Linked DNA regions of Arabidopsis thaliana. The protein of the gene in region 2 interacts with the protein of the main gene of each other region in a pairwise test. Each region holds a gene or a part of one and is shown on either strand. Other genes may lie near its edges.

The links.
Region 1: the proteins of NAC020 (region 2) and WRKY72 interact in a two-hybrid assay, tested with the Arabidopsis thaliana proteins (one large-scale study listed by BioGRID).
Region 3: the proteins of NAC020 (region 2) and AT2G33550 interact in a two-hybrid assay, tested with the Arabidopsis thaliana proteins (one large-scale study listed by BioGRID).

Annotation. Positions count from the first base shown.
Region 1 is NC_003076.8:4,902,605-4,906,363, forward strand, and holds the start of WRKY72 (WRKY DNA-binding protein 72), read left to right. Parts: upstream 1-1,685; 5' UTR 1,686-1,821; coding exon 1,822-1,905; intron 1,906-2,268; exon of another isoform or gene 2,269-2,299; coding exon 2,300-2,890; intron 2,891-3,005; coding exon 3,006-3,119; intron 3,120-3,417; coding exon 3,418-3,759.
Region 2 is NC_003070.9:20,279,235-20,282,993, reverse strand, and holds NAC020 (NAC domain containing protein 20), read left to right. Parts: upstream 1-2,041; 5' UTR 2,042-2,104; coding exon 2,105-2,261; intron 2,262-2,413; coding exon 2,414-2,682; intron 2,683-2,799; coding exon 2,800-3,279; 3' UTR 3,280-3,487; downstream 3,488-3,759.
Region 3 is NC_003071.7:14,209,898-14,213,656, reverse strand, and holds AT2G33550 (Homeodomain-like superfamily protein), read left to right. Parts: upstream 1-1,963; 5' UTR 1,964-2,169; coding exon 2,170-2,758; intron 2,759-2,846; coding exon 2,847-2,891; intron 2,892-3,166; coding exon 3,167-3,477; 3' UTR 3,478-3,675; downstream 3,676-3,759. UniProt on the Arabidopsis thaliana protein: Transcriptional repressor that binds DNA and plays a negative role in regulating microbe-associated molecular patterns-(MAMPs, e.g. flg22, elf18, chitin, and LPS) triggered immunity (PTI) by negatively regulating immune gene expression.

The DNA.
Region 1 (3,759 bases), on a different chromosome or scaffold from region 2:
GTAATTGAAATTTGGATCGAGACCAAATGAAGTATTTAAGATTCAACTTGGCATATAATTAAATTTAATCACATTCACGAAATAATTTTTTTAAATGTTGAGCCATCAAAAATAAAAATCATTTGTTTCTTATAATACGGGCCATACAAATATTGATTTGAAATTAGAACTAATAAATTGCCCGGTTTGAAAAATTGGAGACAGGAAAGACGACAATTTGCTAGCTTATACATTAATAAGAAAATGGTTAGCTACTTAATGTAATCTCTTCGAAATTTTATCATACTTGTGTTCGAGTAACGCTTATATATATGCGTATAACTATAGATAATGATAAAATATATTTCGTTATATCTTGAGTTGAAACTAAATTATTAATAAATATAAAATAAGAGAATAGAACAAATAGTGTCTTTTGACGGAAAAAAAATGCATGTTATTTTTTCAACGCCATGCAGCGTTACGTCACTGACGAAATTTGACAACTATCAACTATGTGAAGCATTTGACATTCGTATGTTGGCTGTAAAATGAAACAAGATGTAACAGGAATATGATAATAGCATTGGGACATAAAAAAAGGATTAATTTCCTTAATAACAAAGTCAATAGTTGACAAAATCATATAATTACCGTGTGTGACCTGCGTATTGACCAGTATACGCACCCTTTGGCCTACCATATGAACAAGGTTTACATATATAACAATAATCAAATGCTTAATACTGTTTTCCTTTCTCTTGTTGCATGATTTGACTTTTAGATTTGTTTCTTAATGACTTATTGTTGAATTATACTCGAAACTTTTACAGAACAAAAACGTTAGAAACCCTAAATAATGAAGTAACGGAACTTAAGATACGATAAAATGGCAATTTTTGTCACTAAAATGGTAAGAGCAAAATCATTTCGATTATCAATCAGAAATTTTATCACACATGGATTAATTCAATGTTATGTCTATGGATGTATAAACTTGTAGATATTTGGAATATAAAACATGTTTTTGATGAGGGAGGACTAATAAATACACTCGATAAAGAAACAATATTAAGTTTTAGAGAGTTGACGAATGCTCATTTGATGTGAGGCCAATAGATAGAAGAAGTCTTCTCCCATGAAGCTTCAAGGACATATCCTTTCACATTATAGAATCTCTATTTGACGCCGTACATTTAGGCTCTTTCTTGTAAGTATTGGTTTCATTTAATGCATTTGGACATTTAAATAATACTCTGATCTGATAACCAAGATCCATATAGACTTTACCTACACTTTCACTTAATGAGAAGGAAGTTTATACTTTCTGTTATATTCATCACAGTTTCATCATGTTAAAAGTTCTTCATTAGATTTAATTTAAATATTATTGGATTCACGTATATATGGTTATAAATATTTGATTTTATTTGTGTTATATGTTTTTTAACAAAATACCAGTAAGGAATTCTATTAAGTTTGATCATTCGTTTTCGATGTACTAGTTGTAATATTTTTTTTAATTGACCCTATTTAAACGGAGAAGTAGTATTATTACCAACAAAGTCAGGAAATAATTTCTTTTTTCGCTAGTTAGTTTAAAATAAATAACACAGATATGATTGGAGGAAAAGGTACTGAAATTCAATAAAAATGAAATAAAAAAATTGAACATGTTGAAGTGTTGACGCTTTGGGTCCCCTCGAAGAAACTACACACAAACACAAATGGCTATAAGTAAAGGGTTTGATAATATGTTTCTGAAGGAAAAAAACAGACAACAAAAAGAAAAGAAAATCCAAACAAGAAGAAGAAGACGAAAATCTTCTGATATTTCTGACAATGGAGGTTCTTTTGAAATTACCCTCTTCAGAGTCTCCTCTTAAGGATAAATTTGGATCTGTTCAAATCCATGAAGCTAATAAGGTAAATACCAACTCTATATGTGCATATACAAAATTATACATGTATATGGAAATAATTTAGATCACAAAACCAGAAAACTGACCGTTCTTATTCTTTATCGGTGTGTTTTATGCTTTAACGTAATTCTTGTATCCTGAGATGTCTCTTCCACTCTATAATGGCCTCTCTCTTTTTTCTTATTATCGTAATTGGTTTAAAAAGAAAAACTCAAAACTCTACCATGTTCATTTTTTTTATGGAAACGGGAAGATTATATTAGTTATCTATCTAGAAATATTGAATAATTCGTTAGAATTAAGAATGGAAGTATGATGTGTTAGAAACTTAGAATAAAGAACATTTTTAGATTTAGTTGAGAAATTAATCAACTTTTTTATTCAATGATATTAATCAGGGTGATGGTGATCATCAAGAACTTGAATCTGCCAAGGCAGAGATGAGCGAGGTGAAGGAAGAGAACGAGAAGCTTAAAGGAATGCTCGAACGAATTGAAAGTGATTACAAATCTCTCAAGCTCAGATTCTTCGACATAATTCAACAAGAACCTTCAAACACCGCAACTAAAAATCAAAACATGGTTGATCATCCCAAGCCAACGACGACGGATTTGAGTTCTTTTGACCAAGAACGCGAGCTTGTATCGCTTTCACTAGGGAGAAGAAGTTCTTCCCCAAGTGATAGCGTCCCCAAAAAGGAAGAGAAAACGGACGCAATCAGCGCAGAAGTCAACGCTGACGAAGAGTTGACTAAGGCCGGCTTGACCTTAGGGATCAATAATGGCAACGGAGGTGAACCGAAAGAGGGTTTATCTATGGAGAATCGTGCAAATTCTGGCTCGGAAGAAGCTTGGGCGCCAGGTAAAGTTACGGGGAAGAGAAGCTCTCCAGCACCAGCCTCCGGTGGCGATGCTGACGGTGAGGCCGGTCAACAAAACCATGTTAAGAGAGCTAGAGTTTGTGTTAGAGCAAGATGTGACACACCAACGGTACGTCCTTTAAATTATACATTAAATAAGTTGATCTATAACGTTAATTAAAAGATTTGATTATTTATATGTGACTAATGTTGATTCGGACATGTTTATTAATTATGTTGTATAGATGAATGATGGTTGTCAATGGAGAAAATATGGACAAAAGATTGCGAAAGGAAATCCATGTCCACGAGCATATTATCGCTGCACGGTTGCACCTGGATGTCCCGTTAGAAAACAGGTATATTTCGTATTCTATATAGTCTATTTAAGAATGGAATAAAAAATCGGTTTGAATTTTTCGTCTGGTTTTATTTTCATTTCCGTTTGAGTTGGATCTGATTTTAGTTGTTAAAATGTATCATTCAATTTAAACTGAACAACATAATTTAAGATAAAAATGTATCATTCAGTTTATTTTATTTTTTGCGTTTGCCTTTGCGTTTCCATGGTATTATAGAAAGTAAGAAACATTTGTGACCAGTGTACAAATAAAAAGAAACGATCTAACTATTTGTCCTCGATTATGTATGTTTTAGGTCCAAAGATGTGCAGATGACATGTCTATACTAATCACAACCTATGAAGGAACACACAGCCACTCTCTTCCACTCTCAGCCACCACCATGGCTTCCACCACATCAGCCGCTGCCTCCATGCTCCTCTCTGGCTCCTCCTCCTCACCAGCCGCTGAAATGATCGGAAATAACCTCTACGACAATTCAAGATTCAACAACAACAACAAATCCTTCTATTCACCCACCCTTCACTCCCCATTACATCCCACCGTCACTCTAGACCTCACTGCTCCACAACACTCTTCCTCGTCTTCTTCTTCATTGCTTTCTTTAAATTTCAACAAATTCTCGAACTCTTTCCAA
Region 2 (3,759 bases):
TCCAACTTGTATTATTTAAAGGCTTTTCTTTTTTCCTTGGATCAGTTTGTTTAGCACAAACTAATATGAGATGGAAAAAAAATATGTTTTGGAAACCGACATGTAGGGAATCAGATGCTACTTTTTCTGAACAAGACTCTTCTTCTCTTTTAGAAGAATTGTGATTGATGTTGATGTTTAAGATGATGTATGATCATTTTATTAACAAACCAACAAAAAAGGGATGATGTATGTATTATCATGATACATGATACATGTCAACATGTATATCGTATGTATGTATTATCATGATTCCCCCATAGAGTCCCGCCTTTGCCAATTTCGTCATGGATATATATACACGTAAAGTTTGTTTACTATTCATTTAATAATGTCACTATTGTGTTACGTCTAATTAATTAATGTTTATTTGATACTCTAGATATCAATACTATAAGCTTGAGAAAGAGTATAGGTACTTGATACATGTGAAATGGAAATATAAAAGGGTTGATAAGATAAGATGCTTAGATCTTAATTAGCTTTATTCGCTTCCCCTTAGATCGTATCAAAGGTTGCATGTCTTTAGTTAGGCTTGCATGTTAGCTTCCTCGTTGTCTTTATTAATTAATTAATCCACATTCCTTTTGCATTTGTGATACAACATTTATATATATAGTCACATTTTTTTTTATATATAGTACTCACATTAATTACTTGTTCATATAGACTTAGACTCGATTTGTGACCAAGAAAAACAAAGTGGTGAAACAATTGGGGCATGTCTTGTTGTTGTCGTTTGATAAGTTAAACTGTTAAAGCATCTTTCGCCAAAATATTTTTCAGTTGCTATCTTTTGTTTTTTGTATCTGTCACTCTCTCTCTCTCTCCCTAAGTTATTGGTGACCACATCTTAAAGCTTCCCTAAAATGTTATTGTTATTTCTTTCTCACGGAAAAGGGAGAGTTACTTACTTGAAGTTTGAATATTATACTTTATAAGAATGGAGGAGTTTTATATATGTCGCAACTTGTGGACTCCCTCAGTATTTGATCATTTCCTTACATAAAACGTTTGATTACTTCATTCTGTTAAATTCCGTTTACAATGTTCTTCGTCTACATGTGAATTATATATATTAGCAAACGAAAAAAAACCATGTAAACGAGACATCTAATATATGACATGAGTTATATATATCATACATGTGAAGAATGAAGATGTCCTTATTTTTTTAATTTATCTTTTGGATCGAGGCCGAGAGTCGAGGCAAAAGAGATTTGACCGGAAGTTAGTAAAATTGAAGGGCCGAGAGAAAGAGAGTCAAAGATTGTGTGGGAGTAATGATGTAAAAGAGCCGAACAACGTCTTTAATCCATATGTAAAAGGGACTAAAGAAGCCTCCCAACACTAAAGCCAAAGTCGACTTGGATGCCTCCTGCTTTTTTATTCTCCCATTTTTTAATCATATATATGAATTCAATTTATAAGTATTCTTATTATAAGACCATAACAACATAAAACAATATAACAAAACTGTCAAACCGAAAAAAAAAGAAAAGAAAAAGCCGAGTGTTTAGGTGTCGCCAGGTAGATTTGGTTTGAGAAGAAGAGATGGGTCCCCTAAACTGTTGAATCATAAAAAGCCTTCATTTTTGGTTTAAAGCAAACGTTATAAAAATCCCTCTATAATGATTCATGACCCACGTTAAGGTCTAACCGGAATTATAAGCATATACATTCATATATGTGAGTATTTGTGAGATGGGGCCTTCTTGCTAAAGCTTTTTCCGTCTCTCCTCCTACTAGGGTTTTCACACTTGCAGAATCTTCAAAAGCCAGAGTTAGGTTTTTATTTAAAATATATATATTGGTTTTAGAAAATATGTGTGATGAGTATCATGACAAACACTGACCAAAAAGCAACCCAAAGTAAGACAAAATATTAATCTCAGAAGATGCCAATCCCATGGCATACTTTTACACATTCCCATATCATATCTTCTTCAGAGTCTCATCTTTTTAATTATATATAGTCACCTTCATATGTCGTACGAACATCCTAATCACTTTAATTAATCTCTCTCATCTCTTTCTCTCTCGTTTTCTAACGCATACACTTTGAATGGCGCCCATGAGTTTGCCTCCAGGATTCAGGTTTCATCCCACTGATGAAGAACTGGTGGCTTACTATCTTGATAGGAAGGTCAACGGCCAAGCCATTGAGCTCGAGATCATCCCAGAAGTTGATCTTTATAAATGCGAGCCATGGGACTTGCCTGGTACGATCCAACTCTTTATATCTCTCTCTATATATGGTTCAGCTTGTTTATGTCAATCTGACGTTATAGATTACATATATTGGTCATGATGCATTCATACATATGATATTGGAGGTTTTATGAGTTATTTATTTGGATAATACGCGGAACAGAAAAGTCATTTTTGCCGGGAAACGACATGGAATGGTACTTTTACAGCACAAGGGATAAGAAGTATCCAAATGGCTCTAGGACGAACCGTGCGACCCGAGCGGGTTACTGGAAGGCCACGGGGAAAGATCGTACAGTAGAATCAAAGAAGATGAAGATGGGAATGAAGAAGACACTGGTTTATTATAGAGGAAGGGCTCCTCATGGCCTTCGTACTAATTGGGTCATGCATGAATATCGTCTCACGCACGCTCCTTCCTCCTCCTTGAAGGTAAATTATTTCCCATGCACAAACTTCTATTAACATATATATCTATATTCATTTCTGATCTAATTTTTTTTTTTTTGATAAACCATATCGACTAATATTAATGTTGATCTAAAACAGGAGTCGTATGCATTGTGCCGAGTGTTTAAGAAGAACATACAAATTCCAAAGAGAAAAGGGGAAGAAGAAGAAGCAGAAGAAGAGAGCACTAGTGTAGGAAAAGAAGAGGAAGAAGAAAAGGAGAAGAAGTGGAGAAAATGTGATGGTAATTATATTGAAGACGAGAGCTTGAAAAGAGCATCCGCGGAGACATCTTCATCAGAGCTAACTCAAGGGGTCCTTTTAGACGAAGCAAACAGCTCATCCATATTTGCTCTTCATTTCTCATCTTCTCTTCTGGACGATCATGATCATCTTTTCTCAAACTATTCTCATCAGCTTCCATATCATCCTCCTCTTCAACTCCAAGATTTCCCTCAACTTTCTATGAACGAAGCAGAGATTATGTCAATCCAACAAGACTTTCAATGCAGAGACTCTATGAACGGGACACTTGACGAAATCTTCTCTTCTTCCGCCACTTTCCCCGCTTCCCTTTGATAAATCCATATCTCATACTATCATCTAGTACTTCTTTTCTCAACTTATTTAAATATACTCGGGTACTTCATATATAGTATTTTTTTTTTTACTTGTTTTTTGCTTATGAATTAGTTTGACTGGTGAAAAAGGGTGAGGAGGTTTGTGGAATTATTTTTTCTACCACAAAAAGAAATTGCATTATTTTATTTTAATTTTTATCATTAGGTGTGTATGGTACTTAATCACTAGAGTTGGTTGGTTTTGTCATATATAGGAGGGAAAACGGAAGTAAAAATTGTGTAATCGATCGACATTACTTATTGGTTTGCATACTTGTAGACTTAAAATCTGGCATGGGCGTCATGGCAACGCAAATTTGGAAAACTTTTCGGATTATATATGTCCGACTGCGGATCAATATCTTATTTAACTATATATATGTGTTATGAATATGAAACAAAAGTTTTAAAATCTGAATGAATAAAGAAAAAATTCTCA
Region 3 (3,759 bases), on a different chromosome or scaffold from region 2:
TTGAAATTAATGTGACTTGTCTTGTTTCAATCCTTATATGATTTGTTTCTCCTAAAGTAATCATTCTACAAAAAAAAACTTTATATCAATTTCCACTAATTAACCTAGATTACCACTTATGATTAAACTTAAGGAATCATTTTAATAATGCCCTAAATGTGGCCAAGTCATTGGTTTATATGGCAAGTGACTTTGTGATCCCAATAATTTTTTGGTCTAGTCGTCTAGGCAACTAGCGTACCTTTGTTTTAGAAAAATTCTAGAGTTTCATTGTAAATCAATGGATACGTATGGATGGGTACAAACTAGAAAAGATAATCAATCCATTGGGCATTTCTTCCATAGAAAATAAAGTGGCTTTAAACGGATGGGAGGGGGCATAAAACATAATCAAGCATTAATAGCCATTTAAATTAATGATTAAAAACGAATGATGCGATTTTGGAGATAGACTTTGAGTGGTAAACAAGGGCAAATGAAAAAAAAAACTTGGGAATTTTATTTGGTGTTAGTGGTAGGGGCATCATTTCATTTCACAATCTACCCTTTAGGGGTTTTAAGGGTTCCCTTTAATGCAAAGTATTGCATTAAGTACGTAGCTAAACATTTATACGACTGAGTCAAGATTTCTAATAAAACAAAAAACAAATTCTATGCGTAAGATGAAATTCTATATTCAAACAGAAATGGTATTTACGGTATCGATGTCTCTTGGTTTTTATTTTATTGGCTTTAGTTTCATGTCCTCTTACTAGCAAGCTTGAACAAAACATTGGCATTGGTTCTCTTTCTCCATCTCAAAGAACATTATGGTTTAATCTTGATTTGATTTATACATGTTTACCCTTAGTCATGTGTGTTTCATAAATCATATCTCCATTTTGGATTTGATCTATTTCATAGAAAACTTTGCTCTATAGTTCTAGAGCTCTAGAGTTTCTCTTTCTACTTGTCAAAAATCATAAACCTTAACATGTAGTAGTGATATCTCTGTTTTTCTTTTCTTCTTACAAACCTTAAACAACAAACTTTTTTTTATCATGATTTTTTTTCTTATTTTTAAACCCTCAAAAGTGAATATATTGATATATCTATCTCTACTCGTCAGCAAGCTTTCCTCATGCTTCTCTCGTCATTCATTTGCTTTTTCATAATGATGTTGTCTTATTGTCTACATTGTTTTAAGGAACGGTTAGCTACGATTTGTTTATACATTTAAGTAGGCTCAGAATTATGCCAACAAAAGATAGTTTCAGAGTTTATTGCAACAAAAAATAGTTTACAAAAAGGGTCCCAAAACCCATTTAATCATTTAAATGATTTAGGGTACTGTTACTAATTATGATATGTGACTGTTGAAAACTTCTACAATGTTTATAGCATTTTTTGTAATGGAACTCCCAAAAACCCTGAGGGCTCTTAAAGATCACTAGGTTATTAAAGCAGAGACTCACTAATATTGTCATTATCTTAAGCTGACAAAAACGTAGAAAAATCCAAAAAAATAAATGGCGGAGGAAATTGACCAAAACGCATATATAAGGATTATGGAGTAAAAGCAACTTATGGTAGTTGGAGAGAAATTAACCAATAGAAATACTCAAAGGGCGCGTTTATTGCCATAATCTACGCCCCCTCCATATTTACACACAACCATATCATAATATTACCAAATATGAAAATTATATGTGCATTATCTTTATTACATAAACAATAAATACAGTTTATTATTAATATAAGAAAAAGATAATTTTTGATTTTATTTTTAGAGTGATCTTGGCCGTAGAAAATGAGGTGATGAAAGTGATGTGTCAAAAAAATCAGGAAATAGCCATATCAAGCATGTAATCCCTAATTACGGTCTAAAGGAATTAAAGATTACGGTCTACTTAAATTCAACATATCTACATGAACCTTATGAAAGGCTTAAGGGACGAAATTAAAATAAAATGATAACACAAGGGTCAATTTTATCTACAGTCACCAAATTAAAAATCAGATTAAGATACATTAAAAAGTCATTATCTCACAAAATAAATCTTTTCTTTGCTCTTTCATTTGTAGCTCCTCTCTCTCTCCGGCGCTAACGGGATGTCCTCACCATAACGCCGTTAAGTCTGGAACCCGTTTGAACGGAATTATCAAAACGGGAAGGAATATTCCGTTTGAATGGCTCTGGAACAGTTAGGATTAGGAGTGAGCGCCGTTGACGGTGGAGAGAACAGTAGCGCGCCGTCAAATGACGGTGGAGATGACGGCGTTAAGACGGCGAGACTTCCTCGTTGGACGAGACAAGAGATTCTGGTTCTGATTCAAGGGAAGAGAGTGGCGGAGAACAGAGTCCGGCGAGGGAGAGCGGCGGGTATGGCTCTCGGGTCGGGTCAAATGGAGCCTAAATGGGCTTCTGTTTCGTCTTACTGTAAACGTCACGGTGTAAATCGTGGGCCGGTTCAGTGCCGGAAAAGATGGAGCAATCTCGCCGGAGATTATAAGAAGATTAAAGAATGGGAGTCTCAGATTAAGGAAGAGACTGAGTCCTATTGGGTTATGAGGAATGATGTTCGTAGAGAGAAGAAGCTTCCTGGTTTTTTCGATAAGGAGGTTTATGATATTGTTGACGGTGGTGTGATTCCTCCGGCGGTTCCGGTTCTTTCGCTTGGATTGGCTCCGGCGTCAGACGAGGGATTGTTGTCTGATTTAGATCGGAGAGAAAGTCCTGAGAAGTTGAATTCTACTCCGGTGGCTAAATCAGTTACTGGTAAAATTCAGATCAAAGTTTAAGTTTTTATTTTGTATGTTCATCAGAATGATTCCATTTCTTATGAAGTTCAATTTTTTTGATGAAGATGTTATAGACAAAGAGAAGCAAGAAGCTTGTGTAGCAGATCAAGGTTTGTTTATCTCTCTGTGTGTATTTGCTTGATCTATTGCTCTATATGCTAATCTCAAACTAGTTTTAGAGCTCTAGAGTGTGTTTCTCTTGAGTCTTGACTATGTAGTTATGTTGTCATGTAGATAAATGATGTTTTCGTATTCTAAAATGCATCTCAAATTGTGTTATAAAAGTAGTTTAACAATCTTCCCTATGGTGTGTGATCTTTTCGTTTATGTTGAAGGGTCTCTATGTTCTTGTTTTTATACTAAAATGTTGAGTTTGAACTTGAAGGTAGAGTGAAAGAGAAACAGCCAGAAGCAGCAAACGTGGAAGGTGGATCGACATCACAAGAAGAGAGGAAGCGTAAACGGACATCTTTTGGTGAAAAGGAAGAGGAAGAAGAAGAAGGAGAAACAAAGAAGATGCAGAATCAGTTGATAGAGATACTAGAAAGAAACGGGCAGTTGTTGGCGGCACAGCTTGAGGTTCAGAATTTAAACTTAAAACTAGACAGAGAGCAAAGAAAAGATCACGGTGATAGCTTAGTCGCTGTTCTCAATAAGCTCGCTGATGCTGTGGCAAAAATCGCGGATAAGATGTAGATTTAGTAAAAGTTAGTTGTATATCACTTTGGCCATTACTTCTCATTCTTCTTCTTCCTTTTTTTTCAATCATTTATCACCATTGTTGATTGAATATTGATGCCACCACAAGAGGTTATTATACACATCTTATATAAACATTGAGATTTATACGGGTTTAGGATATCATTTGCCTTAGTGTTACCTTTTGACTGATTTGAACATCTTGATGTGTTGATGATTTGTTGCATAGCATGAAATTGAGTTTTCATCTTTCTTGCTTCCCCTAACAACAGGATTAAT